Linked DNA regions of Elephas maximus indicus. The protein of the gene in region 1 interacts with the protein of each later gene in a pairwise test. Links are inferred from orthologs where the notes say so. Each region holds a gene or a part of one and is shown in the gene's direction. Other genes may lie near its edges.

Region 1 (7,300 bases):
CTGGGGAGACTGGGTTACAGGGGGACCTGGCGCCAGGCCCAGACCCCAACTGCTCAGACTAATAATGGCCCCCTTTTTCTTAGGGACCTAGGCTTCTGGCCCCCCAGCCCCTGTCCCTGCCCCTAGCTCCCTCAGGGCCCCTCCAACTCACCAAAGAGACTCCTGGGTGGATCTGGGGGCACAGGAGGCATCAAGGTAGGCCCATCCCCCTGGAGAAGCTGGTAAGGATCCCCTGAGAGAATGAAAGGAAGAGGGGGGTATGGTGTCAGTGAGCCCCCCACCTGGCCCATCCACCTCTTCCTTCCAAAGAGCCGTGTCCCCTGTGAGATGGCCTGGAGCTGCAGCAAGTGGAATGGGGGCTTGCCTGGGGAAGAGGATTCTGGATGGGGTAGGCAGGAGCAACTTCTTCCAGGGTTGGGGAAAGGCCTGTAATGGCCTTGGAAGGTGGTGGAGGGAAGGGGATTGGTATGAGTGTGGAGGGGTTATCTAGGACCTGGACAACTTCCCTCTAGGCTGAGGGGCCATGGGCTGAGGGGCCATGCGTGAAGAGAGGCCCCACGCACCGCTGAGAAGAAGGCTGAGGGATGGAGTGTGGCCCCTGGGGCGTCTGGGCATTCCGGGGCCTGGAATCAGCATGCTGAGCTGGGTCCAGTAGCCACGAGTGAGGCCCCGAGAGGCCAGGAAGGCCTCCTTGTTAAAAGTTTCACTGGTCACCTCTGGAGAAGGAGGAGGGAGGGGTTGAAGACCTGGTGGCTAGGACCCCAGGCTTTAGCTCTCCTCAGCCTCCCCTGAGGACCCCGGGTCTGAGTCTGGCTCTCATTAGGCAGGGAACTACAGTGGACCAGGCACTGAGCCCATGTTATCCTTATAACAATTCCTAGGGTTTTAACATTTCTTTGTATCCCTGTTTTGCAGATGAGGAAGTGGAGGCTTAGAGAAAGAAAGTGATTTGTGTAAGGTCACAGCACCAGTGATGGAGCTGGGAAGGGAGCAAGTGTTTGAATCCCTATCCTGGGGTCCCCTAAGCTCTCAGGAACCCTGGCACTCAGTCCTCAGCTCCAGAGACCCTGTCTCCAGCCCCAGGGATCTAGCCCCCAGCCCCATACACAGCACCAGGTCCTTATTCCAGGGATCTAGACCCCAGCCCCCAGGACATAGCCTTCAATACCAGGACTCTGTTCCCTTTCCTAGGTACTCAGGTCTCAGTCCCACAGACCTGGTCCCCCGCCCCATCCTGACTTCCGGATGGTACCTGCAGTGTAGGTAAAAGGCAGAGTTGCCAGCTCTCCCGCCCGCTCCATGAAGGCTGCAAGCTTTGGGCACCAGAATCGGTGGCTCACATCATCTGGGCATCGCCGCCAGTCGGCCAGGAGACAAGCCTCTCCACAGTACAAGACAGCGCTACACTGGGGGCTGGGAGACATGCGGTGGCTGGCACCTAGTGCTACACTGTAGGGCCTTTGTTATCCCTCTGCCCTGAAGCTGCCCATATGGCAGTTGGTCTGTCCGTATACTGTCTGTAACAGCTTGTTTGTTGTATTTTTGTCCCTGTTTCATCCCCCTACTCTTCTCTCTGTCTGCCTGCTGAGCCCCCCACCAGTCTGCTTTCTGTTTGCCTGACTATTGGGGTCCTCTTCCCTCTCATTCCATTTTTGCTGGCTGCTCACCAGGGTGTCAGCTTCACTTCAAAGCTGTGCTTGTGACAAACATGGCAGGTTCGAGCCCGAAGGGAGGCAAAAGTAAAGCCTGGCCGGGGACCCCATGTCCGCATTGGGGTTTTGGCTAACTTCACTCCCAACCTTGCGACCAGGCTCTCCAGCTCTCTGGATGGGGACAGAGATGATGTCAGGCTGGGGCTCAGGAGTCCAGGCCTCCCACCCTCAGATGTCAGATTTCTATACCGGTGTAGCCGGGCATCTCCCACAGTAAGCTGTCGAGGCTTTCGGGGGTCCCCGGATCCCATGGGGCAGGCCATGCTGTGGCACAGGAGAGCGTATGCCCGAGGAGCCAGGTTCTCCGTTCCTGAGTTCCGGTCTGCACTCCCCTGAGCTCTATCCATTAGTAGGTCAATGCCCAAGATGGTGCCATGTTCATCTGTCACCAGTAAGAGGCAGGAAAGGTGCAGGGGGGCAGCCTCTGGAGAAAGAGGGAAAAGGCAGCAGGGCAAAGATGGTCAGGGTCAGAGTTCCAAACTGAAATGCCTACAGGGGCTAGTTAAGTAACCTATGTGAGTAAAGGGACGAGGTGGAGAGGGCAGGCCCCATGGAGAAGCGGTAGCTGCTATGTAGTGCCTGCATTTGCTGCCTCGTAGAAATGTAGGCCTGCTGTCAGAATTTTACATTTCTCTTGAAAAAGTATAAATCCAGATTTCTGAATTTTTATTCTTTCAATGTTTAAATGTTGGCTCAAATTAAAAAAAACAAAAACACCGTGGGTCAATGAAAACTTCTCCTGAAGGGCATCAGTTTGTGACCCCTGGCTGGGTTCTGGAGGGTAGGAGAGGGCTCTGGAAGAGGGAGCCTGGCTGGGCAGGAGGTAGGGCAGGGCGAGCCCTGAGTTCTTACCACTTCTCTGTCCCTTCCTCTTCTCGGGTCCCGTTTCATCCTCTGCCCTGTTCTCTCCGCAACCATCCTCACCACCTCCTGCCTCCTGCTCAGCCTCCTCTGGCTCCCCTGGAGGGTTTGCTTCCTGGGGGGACTCCCTGCTGGTAGTGGCTGGCTCCCCAGCCTCCTCTGGTTCCACCTTCTCTGAGCCTGCACCCTCATCCTCTCCTTTCTCCTCCTCCTCATTTTCCTCCTCCTCCTCCCCTTCCTCCAGGCTGACAAAGCTGACATATGGGCTGAGGTCTCGAAGATGAAGTGGGGGCTCCTCTCCTAGGAGCCGGGCAGCCCCCAGGCCTGACCCAGGACCTGGCTCTGCCCCTTGCCCCAGGCTGATACCCACACTACGGTTGGGCAAGACATGGAGCACCCAAAGGGCAGGGTCCTGGGGCAGTCTTCTGATCTGAGCCTCCAGCTGCCGCCCCCGACCCTCAAGGCTGGCCCCCACAGCCCCTCGCTCTGCCACAAACTTGCGGAACCAGCCGAAGAGGAGGGCAGTGAAATCAAGGAACTCATCCCGGTATCCAGACACAAACTCCATGTCTTCGGGGCACAGGGCCTGGACCCAGACGGAGCAGAGGAAGGGGGATATATGGTGAGGGAGGGGGTGGTGGGAAGAGAGTTTGGGGCTTGGTCACGAACGGGGGAAGGGCTGGGTTTGAGAGTCGCTTGGGGAGCCATCTGCGGGTGAGGGCTAGGAGCTGAGAATAGGGTTTTCAGGGCTGAGGATGGGAGTTCAGGTACCAGAATAGGGGTGAAGCTTGAAAGTGGGAGATTATGGTTGAGGATGAGCACTCAGGGTTCAAAATTTTGGGGCTCAAAATTCGAGGACTCGAATCCTCAAAAGTAGGGTTTGAATTGAGGGTGGAGATGAGGATGGCTAATCCTACCGGGGAGGGTCTGCCTGACTGTCTGTAGGGTATGGGAGGAGGGAATGGGGCAGGACATCCCCTCGGTTTGACGCTGAGCCCTGGTAGAGCTAGCCCCTCCCCGCCGCCCCACTGCTCCGGTACCTGCAGCCGCCACCACTTTCGAAGGTAAATACCACGGGGGGCAGCCGTGACGTAGGGCCCCCGCGCCCCCAGCCCGCTCCGCGGTGGCCACGCCCCTGGGCGGTGGCGTCCGCGGGTCCAGGCCCGAGCGGTGAGTGCGTGGGAGGGAGGCTGGCCTCGGCCTCTGCCCCGTGCCATGTGACTGCGCTGCGTCCCGCGGCGCCCGCAGCCCGGCGGGGAAGTGAAGGCGGCTGGAGGAGGCTGGGACGGGTCGCTCTCCATCGCCCAGCTTCCGCGGACCGGCCTGGGGCGCGCGCGGGCAGCAGGACCCCCTAACCGAATCGGCCCGGCGGGCCCCTGCCAGCCTGCCCCACCTCGTCCTGCCGCCTGTTTCCTTTCGGTTTATTCCGACATTCCTGGCCGCCCCCAGGTGAAGGCCCCCGGGCGGCGCTGGGCCACGGGACGGGGCGCTCCGCCCCCGGGGTTTCCCCACCGCGAGGCCGGCGGGCTTGGAGGGACAGAGCGCACGTCCGTTCAGACGGCGGGGCGTCGGGAGCCACTGGCCGCTTCTCAGCCGCGACTCGGCGCCCACGGCCAAGCAGGGGAAGGAAGAGAAAGCCATTGGGAAACCAGACGGACGCCGCGCGTGGCTGGAGTCCGCCTAGGTGTCAGACGGTGCGCCCCCAAACTTTGGCGCGTGCCGCGATGTGTCGGGGCCTCGAACTCGAGTTCCGCGTGTTCCTGCTCCTCCTGATAGCTGGACTGACCTTGCCAGGTTCGTCGAGGGCCGGGGAAAGGGATGTGTGTGTGTGTGACTGTGTGGTAGGGGCATGCGGGCAGTACTGGAGCAAGGGGGTTGAGTTGAATAAGTTGGGAGTCAGGTGCGCTAGAGCCCCCAAGGTGGCAAGGGGAGGGCCAAGTTGCCTGGGGTTGCGGACAGAGGCACCCGCGCCCAGGTAGGATGATGGAGTCTTTAGGATGAGTGATATGTGGGTTGAACCTGGGGGTCTGGCCCAGGAGTCTAGGGAAGAGGTGCAATGGGGCAGTGGGCTGGAGGCTAAGTAAGGGCTGGGAGAGCCCCTCGGCCTGGGAACCTGTGTGACCACTTTTGTCCTGCTCAGGCGATGGCAACGAGGGCAGTGTCACTGGAAGTTGTTACTGTGATCGTTTAATTTCTACCCCCACAATGGAACAGAAGGAACATTTCCGAAAACACCTTAAAGGCTACACATGCTGTCGGCTCTTTGTCAGGTAATCTGCTCACCCACCCCTTGGAGGGCAGTGTCTGTCCAGTCCCTCCCTACCAGGTGCCTCTAACCAAAAAAAAAACCAAAAAAACCAAACCTGTTGCCATGGAGTTGATTCCCTACAGGGACACAGCAGAACTGCCCCATAGAGTTTCCAAGGAGCAGCTGGTGGATTCACACCGCTGACCTTTTGGTTAGCAGCCAATAGCACTTAACCACTACGCCACCAGGATTTCCACCAGCTACCTCTAGGACACTCTTATGGTCAAAGATAAACTTCTTGTGGGCACATGTAGCCCCCTTTCTGGGTTATGTTTGCCCCAGTTTCCTACACTTCACTGCCCCACCTACCTGGGGACTTCCCAGTCCCAGCAGAAATGGCTCTTACTCTTGGTGGTGACTTCATGCCTTTGGAATGAGGAAGGAACTGGGAGGGAGGAGCCATTAGCTGAGACCAGGTCCTTTTTCCTTAGGTTCGAGCTCCATTCCCGGACTGTGTGTGGGGGCAGTACCAAACCCTGGGTTCTTCATTTGATGAGTTGCTTTGATAGTGGAGGTGAGTGGCTTACCCTTTCTTCCCCAGGTTCTGCCTCCAGGGCTCAGTTGACTCCACCTTACAGTTTTCTTTGAATCACCTCTTTGCCTTGTGACACCTCACATTCCCAGAACCTCCTGATTCTGGCCAAAGTACTTTCACTTTAGTCCCTGTTTTCCAAACTTCACACCAACTTCATGCTTTTTTTTTTTTTTGCCAGTTCCTCCTACCAGTAGTGCTATTATTCACTTAATATTTGTCTTGAAATCAAGCCAATATTTTTGTTCCCCCAATCTTTAATAGGAAAATTTAAAGACACATGCAAAAATGGAAACAATTGCACAGTGAACATCCACGTATTCATTACCTAGATTTTACAGTTAACATTTTACTAAACTTGCTTTGGAGCCCTGGTGGTGTAGTCGTTAAGAGCTCAGCTGCTAACCAAAAGGTTGGCAGTTCAAATCCACCAGCCGTTCCTCAGAAACCCTCCGGGGACAGTTCTATTCTGTCCCATAAGGTCGCGCTATGAGCTGGAACCGACTCGATGACACCTAACAACAACAAACTTGTTGTATTCCACCTCTATCTATCTGTCCATCATCATTTCATCTTATTTTTTGATACATTTCAAAATTAGTTGCAGGCATTACAATACTTCATCCAAAAACACTTAGCATGTGTATTATTAACTAGAGTTCAGTATTGTACGGTTCCTTTTTTTCTTTTGAGGTAAAATTTATATGCAATGCAATGAAAAAATCTTGAGTGTATAGAAGTCACTGTTGAAAAACTTAAATAGCAACTTGTCCTAAGCACTAACAGCCATGAAATCACAAATTTTGACGTGCCAGTTGTATCTTTCTCATAAACACACAACCATTAAAATATAAAACGTTCTTTCATGGCCCACCTAAAGTTTCCCACATCCCACCTAGTGTTAATGGTATGTATGCATACTACCCTTTTGACTATGCAAACCTATTTTATCTCATTTAATTCCCTCAACTACCTTGGGCCTTAGTACTAAAATTATCCTCACTTTATAGCTGAAAAAATGAGTTCCAGAGAGGTTAACAGACAAGCATAAGGTCTCACAGCTACTTTGTAGCAGAGCCAAGGTTCAAACCAGGTCTCCTGACTTACCAGTTCAGAAGGTACACTTGTTCTTGGTTTCTGGTTATTCTGTTCATGGTTCAGTGGTTTGTGGTTCAGTCCTGCGGTTTGCTGACTTTGTCCTCCACCTTTCCGCTCTTCTCCTGGCCTTCACCTGTCCCCTTGATGTTCTCCCTGACTCACTACCCTTCTATTTGCTTCTTCACCTTGTGCCTGGTATCTCTGATTCCTTCTTTCTTGCCTCTCCAGAATGTGGACGTCCTCTCTGGGAAAGTCAGGCCCGCCAGAAGCATTTACCTCCCCTCAGAACTCAGGTTCCTGAGCCCACAGATGAAGCACCTTCAGACTTGGGCACGCCTGCCCTGACATACCTGCCATCCACTCTGCAGTCCACCCAGCAGCCCTCCCTTCCAGCAGCAGCACCAACCTCGGACAGAGGTCTCACCTACTGCAGTGAAGCCACCACTCTGGGAGTTGAGGCTGGGGAGAACCAGAAGCAGCTGGAAGACAATGTGGGTCCTCCAGGTGGGATGTCAGCCATGGTGCCGGTGCTGTCCCTCCTGGCCATCACGTTCATTCTCATTGCAGTCCTCCTCTATGTGCTCTGCAAGAGGAGGAGGGAGCAGTCAAGGCTGTACTATCCAGGTAAAGGGGACCTCAGACACCCTCCCCCAGGAGTCCAGACCCTCCCTGTCAGGGGTCCTGTCCCAGTAACTCCCAGGTGGCTGACCTAGGCAGACAAATATTAAGGCTGTCTGCACCATGAACCATAGGCCTTGAAGGATGACTCAACCAGAAGCTACACAGTGG
Region 2 (7,041 bases), on another chromosome or scaffold:
ATAAATGGCAACAGTAGACGTGGACCTCACCAGATGGGATTTACAGGAATCAAATTGACTACATCTGTGGAAAGAGACTATGGAAAAAATCAATATCATCAGTCAGAACAAGGCCGGGGCCAACTGCAGAACAGACCATCAATTGCTTATATGCAATTCAAGTTGAAGCTGAAGAAAATTAGAACAAGTCCACTAGAGCCAAAGTATGACCCTGAGTATATCCCACCTCAATTTAGAGACCATCTCTAGAATAGATTTGAAGGGTTGAACACTAATGACCAAAGGCTGGACAAGTTGTAGAATGACATCAAGGACATCATACATGAAGAAAACAAGAGGTCAATAAAAACACAGGAAAGAAAGAAAAGACCAAAACGGATGTCGGAAGAGACTCTGAAATTTGCTCTTGAATGTAGAGTAGTTAAAGGGAATGGAAGAAATGATGAAGTAAAAGAGCTGAACAGATTTCAAAGGGCAGCTCGAGAAGACAAAGTAAAGTATTATGATGACATGTGCAAAGACCTAGAGTTAGAAAATCAAAAGAGGAGAACACACTCGGTATTTCTCAAGCTGGAAGAACTGAAGAAAAAATTCAAACCTCAAGTTGCAGTAGTAATGGATTTTATGGACAAAATATTGAATGATGCAGGAAGTTTCAAAAGAAGATGGAGGGAAAACAGTCACTGTACCAAAAAGAATTGGTCGACGTTCAATCATTTCAGGAGGTAGCATATGATCAAGTACCAAAGGAAGAAGTCCAAGCTGCACTGAAGGCGCTGGTGAAAAACAAGGCTCCAGGAATTGACAGAATACCAGTGGAGATGTTTCAACCAACAGATGCAGCGCTGGAAGTGCTCACTTGTCTATGCCAAGAAATTTGAAAGAGAGCTTACCTGGCCAACTGACTGAAAGAGATCTATATTTATGCCTATTCCAAAGAAAGGTGATTCAACCGAATGTGGAAATTATCGAACAATATCATTTATATCACACACAAGTAAATTTTTGCTGAGGATCATTCAAAAGTGGTTACAGCAGTATATCTACAGGGAACTGCCAGAAATTCAAGCTGGATTCAGAAGAGGACAAAAAACCAGGAACACTACTGCCGATATCAGATGGATCCTGGCTGAAAGCAGAGAATACCAGAAAGATGTTTACCTGTGTTTTTTTTGATTATGCAAAGGTATTCGACTGTGTGGATCATAACAAGTCATGGATAACATTGCCAAGAATGGGAGTTTCAGAACACTTAATTGTGCTCATGAGGAACTAGATCAAGAGGTAGTCATTGGAACAGAACGGAGAGAGACCACATGGTTTAAAGTCAGGAAAGGTGCGTATCAGGGTTGTGTCCTTTCACCTCGCATATTCAATCTGTATGCTGAGCAAATAATCCAAGAAGCTGGCCTATATGAAGAAGAACGGGGCATAAGGACTGGAGTAAGACTCATTAACAACTTCCATTATACAGATGACACAACCTTGCTTACTGAAAGTTAAGAGGACTTGAAGCACTTACTGATGAAGATCAAAGACCACAGCATTCAATATGGATTACATCTCAACATAAAACCAAAAAATCCAAACCCACTGCCATTGAGTCGATTCCTGACTCATATCAACCCTATTGGACAGAGAAGAACTGCCCCATAGAGTTTCCAAGGAGTGCCTGGCAGATTCGAACTGCCGATCTCTTGGTTAGAAGCTGTAGTACTTAACCACTACACCACCAGGGTTTCCCCTCAACATAAAGGAAACAAAGATCCTCACACCTGGACCAATAAGCAGCAGCACGATAAACGGAGAATAAACTGAAGTTGTCAAGGATTTCATTTTACTTGGATCCACAATCAACATCCATGGAAGCAGCAGTCAAGAAATCAAAAGACACATTGCACTGGGCAAATCTGCAGCAAAAGACCTCTTCCAAGTGTTAAAAAGCAAAGATGTCACTTTGAGGACTAAGGTGTGCCTGACCCAAGCCATGGTGTTTTCAATTGTCTTGCATGCATGTGAAAGCTCGACAGTGAATAAGGAAGACCAAAGAAGAATTGACACCTTTGAGTTATGGTGTTGGCAAAGAATGCTGAATATACCATGGACTGCCAAAAGAACGAACAAATCTGTATTGGAAGAAGTACAGCCAGAATGCTCCTTAGAAGGGAGGGTGGTGAGACTTCATCTCACATACTTTGGACGTGAAGGACCAGTTCCTAGAGAAGGACACCGTGCTTGGTGAAGTAGAGGGTCAGTGAAAAAGAGGAAGTCTCTCAACAAGATGGATTGACACAGTGGCTGCAACGATGGGCCCAAGCATAATAACGATCATGAGGTTGGCACAGGACCGGGCAATGTTTCGTTCTGTTGTACATAGGGCCGCTATGAGTCGGAACTGACTTGATGGCACCTAACAACAATTATGACCCATTTCCACTCTTGCCTCTCAAGTCACTGAACTGAGACATGCTGGAACTTCTGCAGCCACCACTCATTTACAGACTATCAGTGGGGACAGATTTCTTTTCTAGGTGACCGATCCCGTCATTAAACAAACAAACAAAAAACCCATTGCCATTGAGCCAATTCCAACTCATAATGACCCTATAGGACAGAGTAGAACTGCCCCATAGTGTTTTCAAGGCTGCAATCTTTATGGAGGCAGACTGCCACATCTTTTCCCCGGGAGTGCCTGGTGGTTTCCAACTGCTGATCTTTCAGTTAGCAGCAGAGTGCTTAACTGCTGCACCACCAGGGCCCCTTGATCCCTTCATTGCATGTTGATTTTCCTTAATATTCTCAGAAGGTAACCTTAGCCTCCAGTTTAGGGGGTTACTATGTTGTACCCCTCCTACACTCACATCCTCTATTCCATTTCTGGGACCCTTTCTCCAGAACACCTCCCGCACACTGTAGTGCTTAGAACACATGAACTGCCCCCTCCTGCCCCTACCCCATTTAGCAGGTCATGTGGGAGCTCAGCCCCAGAAAGCCTTAGGCTGCTTCCTGGCAGAGTTTCTTTGTCTTCCAGAGCTGTAGCCCTGGCAAATCCCCCCAAGAGCCCACAGGCATCACCCACTCTCAGGGGAGAGACATGGGGACAGAGAATTTGCATGACTTGCCCCTGGACACACAGTTCTGGGAACTCACAGGAAGACAGTAGCCCTCCCTTTTCTCCCCTGGCCTAGTGCCCATGCAGTAATGGGGTAAGAATGTCTTCCCGAGAACTCAGATCCCCAAGAGAGGTCCCTGGGGCAAAGGGTTAGCAAGGCAAGGAGGGTGAGTTTTAGTTCTCAGAAATCACTGATTTCTGGCCAAGAGCCACCTAGGCTTTCCCAGCTGCTTATGAGGCCAGAACTAGGCAGCAGCCTCCTCCCTCTCCCAGGGCTCCGCCTGGCAGCAGGTCACAATGGCCCAGCTTCCCAGTCTCCGAATTGCTGGCCAGGTGGGAGGAGGTAAGGAGGGTTCAGTGGGTGGGTGTGGGGGGAGGGGGAGGTTCATGCCCAATTAAAGCCCAATTTCCCACTCTCGGAGCTCATCTTTGAGAGTCTGCTAGGGCCCCACCCCTGCCCACACCCCCACCCCTGACATTCCCTCCCAGCACTAACCCTTCCTGTCACCACATCCCTCCATGACCGGGCTCTGCTTATCCGGGCCCCAAGCCCTGGCAGGTCCGATTCCAGTCTCTCCCAGGCACCTGGATGCTGGAAAGGGGTCAGGCAGTCCAGTGGGTCCAAGTGTGTTCCTCTGGGGCCCTAGCCTGGCCCACCTCCTGGACAGTGCCCTAGGGCTGGTGGCCCTGGGGCTGGCAATTCGAGCAGTCCTTTTCACAGCTGTACCAGCGCTGCTGCTGCTGCTGCTACTGGTCAATTTCCTTGCCTTTGATCTGCTCCACGGGTAAGTGGCCAGGCGGCCTGGCAGGTGGGGAGACATGTAGGCAGGTGGACAAGTGGTCAACCTTTCTGAGCCCTGCTGCCTCCCTCTTTCTTCACAGGCCCACAGCTCCCACCCTGCTGCAGCACAGGCCTCTGGCAGGGGGCCCGAGTCAGGGAGCCGGTGAAGGTCCAGGACAGCAGGGGGCTCTGCTTCTGACACCGGTCGCAGTCATAAGACAAGTCAGTCTCCAAGATGCGCTTCTACTGCTGCTTTTGGGCCTGGGTCTGCTCCTGGGGGCCCAGGGCATGCCCCTGGCCCTGCTTGGCCTGGCTTTCTGCCTCCACCCTTGGGTCTGAACGCTTTCCCAAAACACTGCGTGCCCTCCCAAAATACACTGGCTATCCTGCTTCCTCGGGCCTCCTTTCCTTCATCTTGGGCTGGGCAGGAGGGAGGTGCCCCTTATCCCGAGCCTGAACCTCCAGGAAGCCCTGGCCCCACAATGTGGGCAGTGGACATCTAGGTCTGATCTGGGGGCCCAGCTGGGGAGAGAAGGTGAGGGATAGTATGATGAGAGACAGGGAGCCCGGGGCAGGAGGTGGCACTGATCTCAGCCTGCAGGTTGGAGGTGGGCATATCGCCCCCTCTGTGGTTCAAGAGAATGACAGTCTAGAGAGAAAGACCTGCAAGAAAGTGGGTGTGGGGCTGAATATCAGGCAGCAGGGAAGGGTCGGGGACCCAGGAAGGGCTTCCTCACAAGAAAGTATTAGACACTGCAGCCAAGGGCTCATTTGGCTCCCCTGCCTGCCTGGAGGGTCCACAGTGGCTCCTCTCTTGGCTGGACCCCACCCCGGACCCGGGTCACAATAGGGCTCCTCTGGGGAGGGTGGGGGTGGGCAAGACTGGGGCCTCGGATCTAGCTACTGGGCTGTCCTGGGCACTGCAGGAAGCAACATGACTTAGGTGGCTCTGCCCAGAGGTAAGTCCCGGGCCCCAGCTCACTGCCCTATCCCAACCACATTGGTGCCTTCCTGAGCCCCATGCCCCTACCTACCTGAGGTAGCAAGCCTCTGCAGGGCTGCTCCTGCAACTGGCCCGGCCCTCTCCCCAGGTGCACCAGCCATGATGCAGCAGCCGCGAGTGGACACAGATGCCATCGGGGCCGGTGAGGGGCTGCAGCCTGTGGCGCCCTGGTCGGCCTGGGTCTCGCGGCAGGGTTGGGCGCGCTGGTGGGCATGCCATGTGCCTCGGAGCTGGGCCCAGTGGTGGGCCACATCCAGCTGGCGGCAACCACTGCAACGTGTGCTATGGGGCCTTGAGGGGATGCTTTACCTGCTGCTGGCGCTGATGCTGTGCCACGCTCTCTTCACCACTGGCTCCCACCTGCTAAGCTCCCTGTGGCCTGTTGTGGCTGCAGCGTGGCGCCACCTGCTGCCTGCCATCCTGCTGCTGGTGCTCAGTGCCCTCCCCGCCATGCTCTTCACCGCCTCCTTCCTGCTGCTTTTCTCCACACTGCTGAGCCTTGTGGGTCTCCTTGCTTCCATGTCTCACACTGGCCACACTCAGGACTTGGACCAATAGAAGGCAACCCCATCCCGCTGCCTGTGTCTGTTGAGCCCAGGCCTAGGGCCTGAGGCCTGGGGAGAGGGAGGGCAGTGGGACCAGGACCTTATAGCCTCAGCAGGCCCCAGCACCCCAGATGCTAGCATGGGGCCGAAACTTGTGTAGTGTTTCTGGAGCTGACAGGACAGACTGGCCTGATCTCTAGTGCCTGCCTCAAGTTGATGCCTCAGGTACCTGGTGTGGGGAGACAGTGACTTTGAGAGGAGGGGATAGGGCAGAAGGCTTAAGCGGGGGCAGAGCTTGGCCAAGCCATTGAGGGTTCCCATGTGGATGTGGTGACACTACTGGGTGCCCCTTGGCAACTGGCAGCATTTTCTTGCAACTGCTCAGCTTTCTCAGCCTCAGACCTCACCTAGAACTTCCACCTGGCTACCCCTGGACTCTCCATTTTCTCCCACCAATGCTTCTTCCCACTTTCAGAGGTGCCACAGATCAGGAGAGAGCCTCACTGATAGAAGTCTAGTGGGAGAGGAACTGGCAGAAACCCCCCTGAGACCTCAACTCACCTTCTAGACCTTTCCACCCAGGCATCCCCTGTTTCCTAGACTTCCTTTTCTCCTGTTTCAGTCTACATCCCCAGGTCTGGGAAATGAGCCAACTAGGGTAGTGAGGTTCCCAGAGAGTAGCTACTCACTTGTTAAGACTCTCCAGGCCTGTTGTGGAAAAACAAATAAGTCCCATTTTACGCATCTACACAATGTGTAACCTTGGCCAATTAATTTCCTTGAGTCTCAGTGTTAAATGGGTCCCAACCCTATCATGGGGTTGTTGTGAGTCAAAGGCAATGCCTATCTGTGAAGTGCTTTGTGAAGACCAGAAAACTGTAAGATATTGTTTTGAACACTAAGAACATTCTGTAGCCTCAAAGAGTCTTTTGGGCCTGAAGGCCCTTGAAAAGCAGGTAGCTTCCCTGGGCTTTCAGAGGAATGCTCTGTTATAGATAGAATTTTGGCTCTAAGATGGTAAATGGATGGGTGTGGACAAGATACGAAAAGGCCACGTGCCATGAAATCTCAAAAGTGTGCAGATGCAAGACTCTTCTGACGGTGAAATGCTTGGGGCTGGGACTTGGTGCCAAGAGATGCTTATACAGCTGTGTGAATAGGGAAAGCTAGCTCATGGGTTCCCAAAACTGATCCAGGAAAGTTCTAAACCAAGAGGGCCTTGGAAGGTGCCATTCCTTGGTGCCCTGGATCCTGGCCATTCACTTATCATCTAACCCCTCCAAACAAAACATTGAGTGATTAGTTATTACCAAGTAAGATATATGACAGACAACCTTACCCACAGCTGAGACCCACCCACCTGACCCCCATCCCACTCCTAACTCCCACCCAATCTTTGACCCTGAAATGATTCCCAACCTCTGTCCACCCCCAATCCATTCTCCTTCTCAGCCCCAGCCCAGTCCTGACCCCCACCTTATATCTAACCTTAAAATCCCTGCTCCTGCAGCCCTAAGCCCAAAGTCCCCCTCTCCTGCTCCCTAAATACTTAAGCCCTGAGGAATAATCCCTCCAACCCTATCGAATACCTGGTTTCATC

Evidence for each region.
Region 2: the proteins of CXCL16 (region 1) and TMEM239 interact in a two-hybrid assay, tested with the Homo sapiens proteins (2 studies listed by BioGRID). The two-hybrid records come from large-scale screens. The link is inferred for Elephas maximus indicus from reciprocal best matches to the Homo sapiens genes CXCL16 and TMEM239.

What each region holds. Positions count from the first base shown.
Region 1 is NC_064837.1:14,391,138-14,398,437, reverse strand, and holds the start of CXCL16 (C-X-C motif chemokine 16), read left to right. Parts: upstream 1-4,284; 5' UTR 4,285-4,297; coding exon 4,298-4,367; intron 4,368-4,713; coding exon 4,714-4,843; intron 4,844-5,312; coding exon 5,313-5,395; intron 5,396-6,739; coding exon 6,740-7,135; intron 7,136-7,300. Other genes in the region: ZMYND15 (zinc finger MYND domain-containing protein 15), read right to left, coding at 1-9, 152-232, 564-716, 1,253-1,413, 1,668-1,823, 1,902-2,136, 2,565-3,159, 3,614-3,874. UniProt on the Homo sapiens protein: Acts as a scavenger receptor on macrophages, which specifically binds to OxLDL (oxidized low density lipoprotein), suggesting that it may be involved in pathophysiology such as atherogenesis. Induces a strong chemotactic response. Induces calcium mobilization.
Region 2 is NC_064843.1:41,403,401-41,410,441, forward strand, and holds the start of TMEM239 (transmembrane protein 239), read left to right. Parts: upstream 1-4,984; 5' UTR 4,985-4,995; coding exon 4,996-5,454; 3' UTR 5,455-7,041. Other genes in the region: C25H20orf141 (uncharacterized protein C20orf141 homolog), read left to right, coding at 3,632-3,897, 3,995-4,232.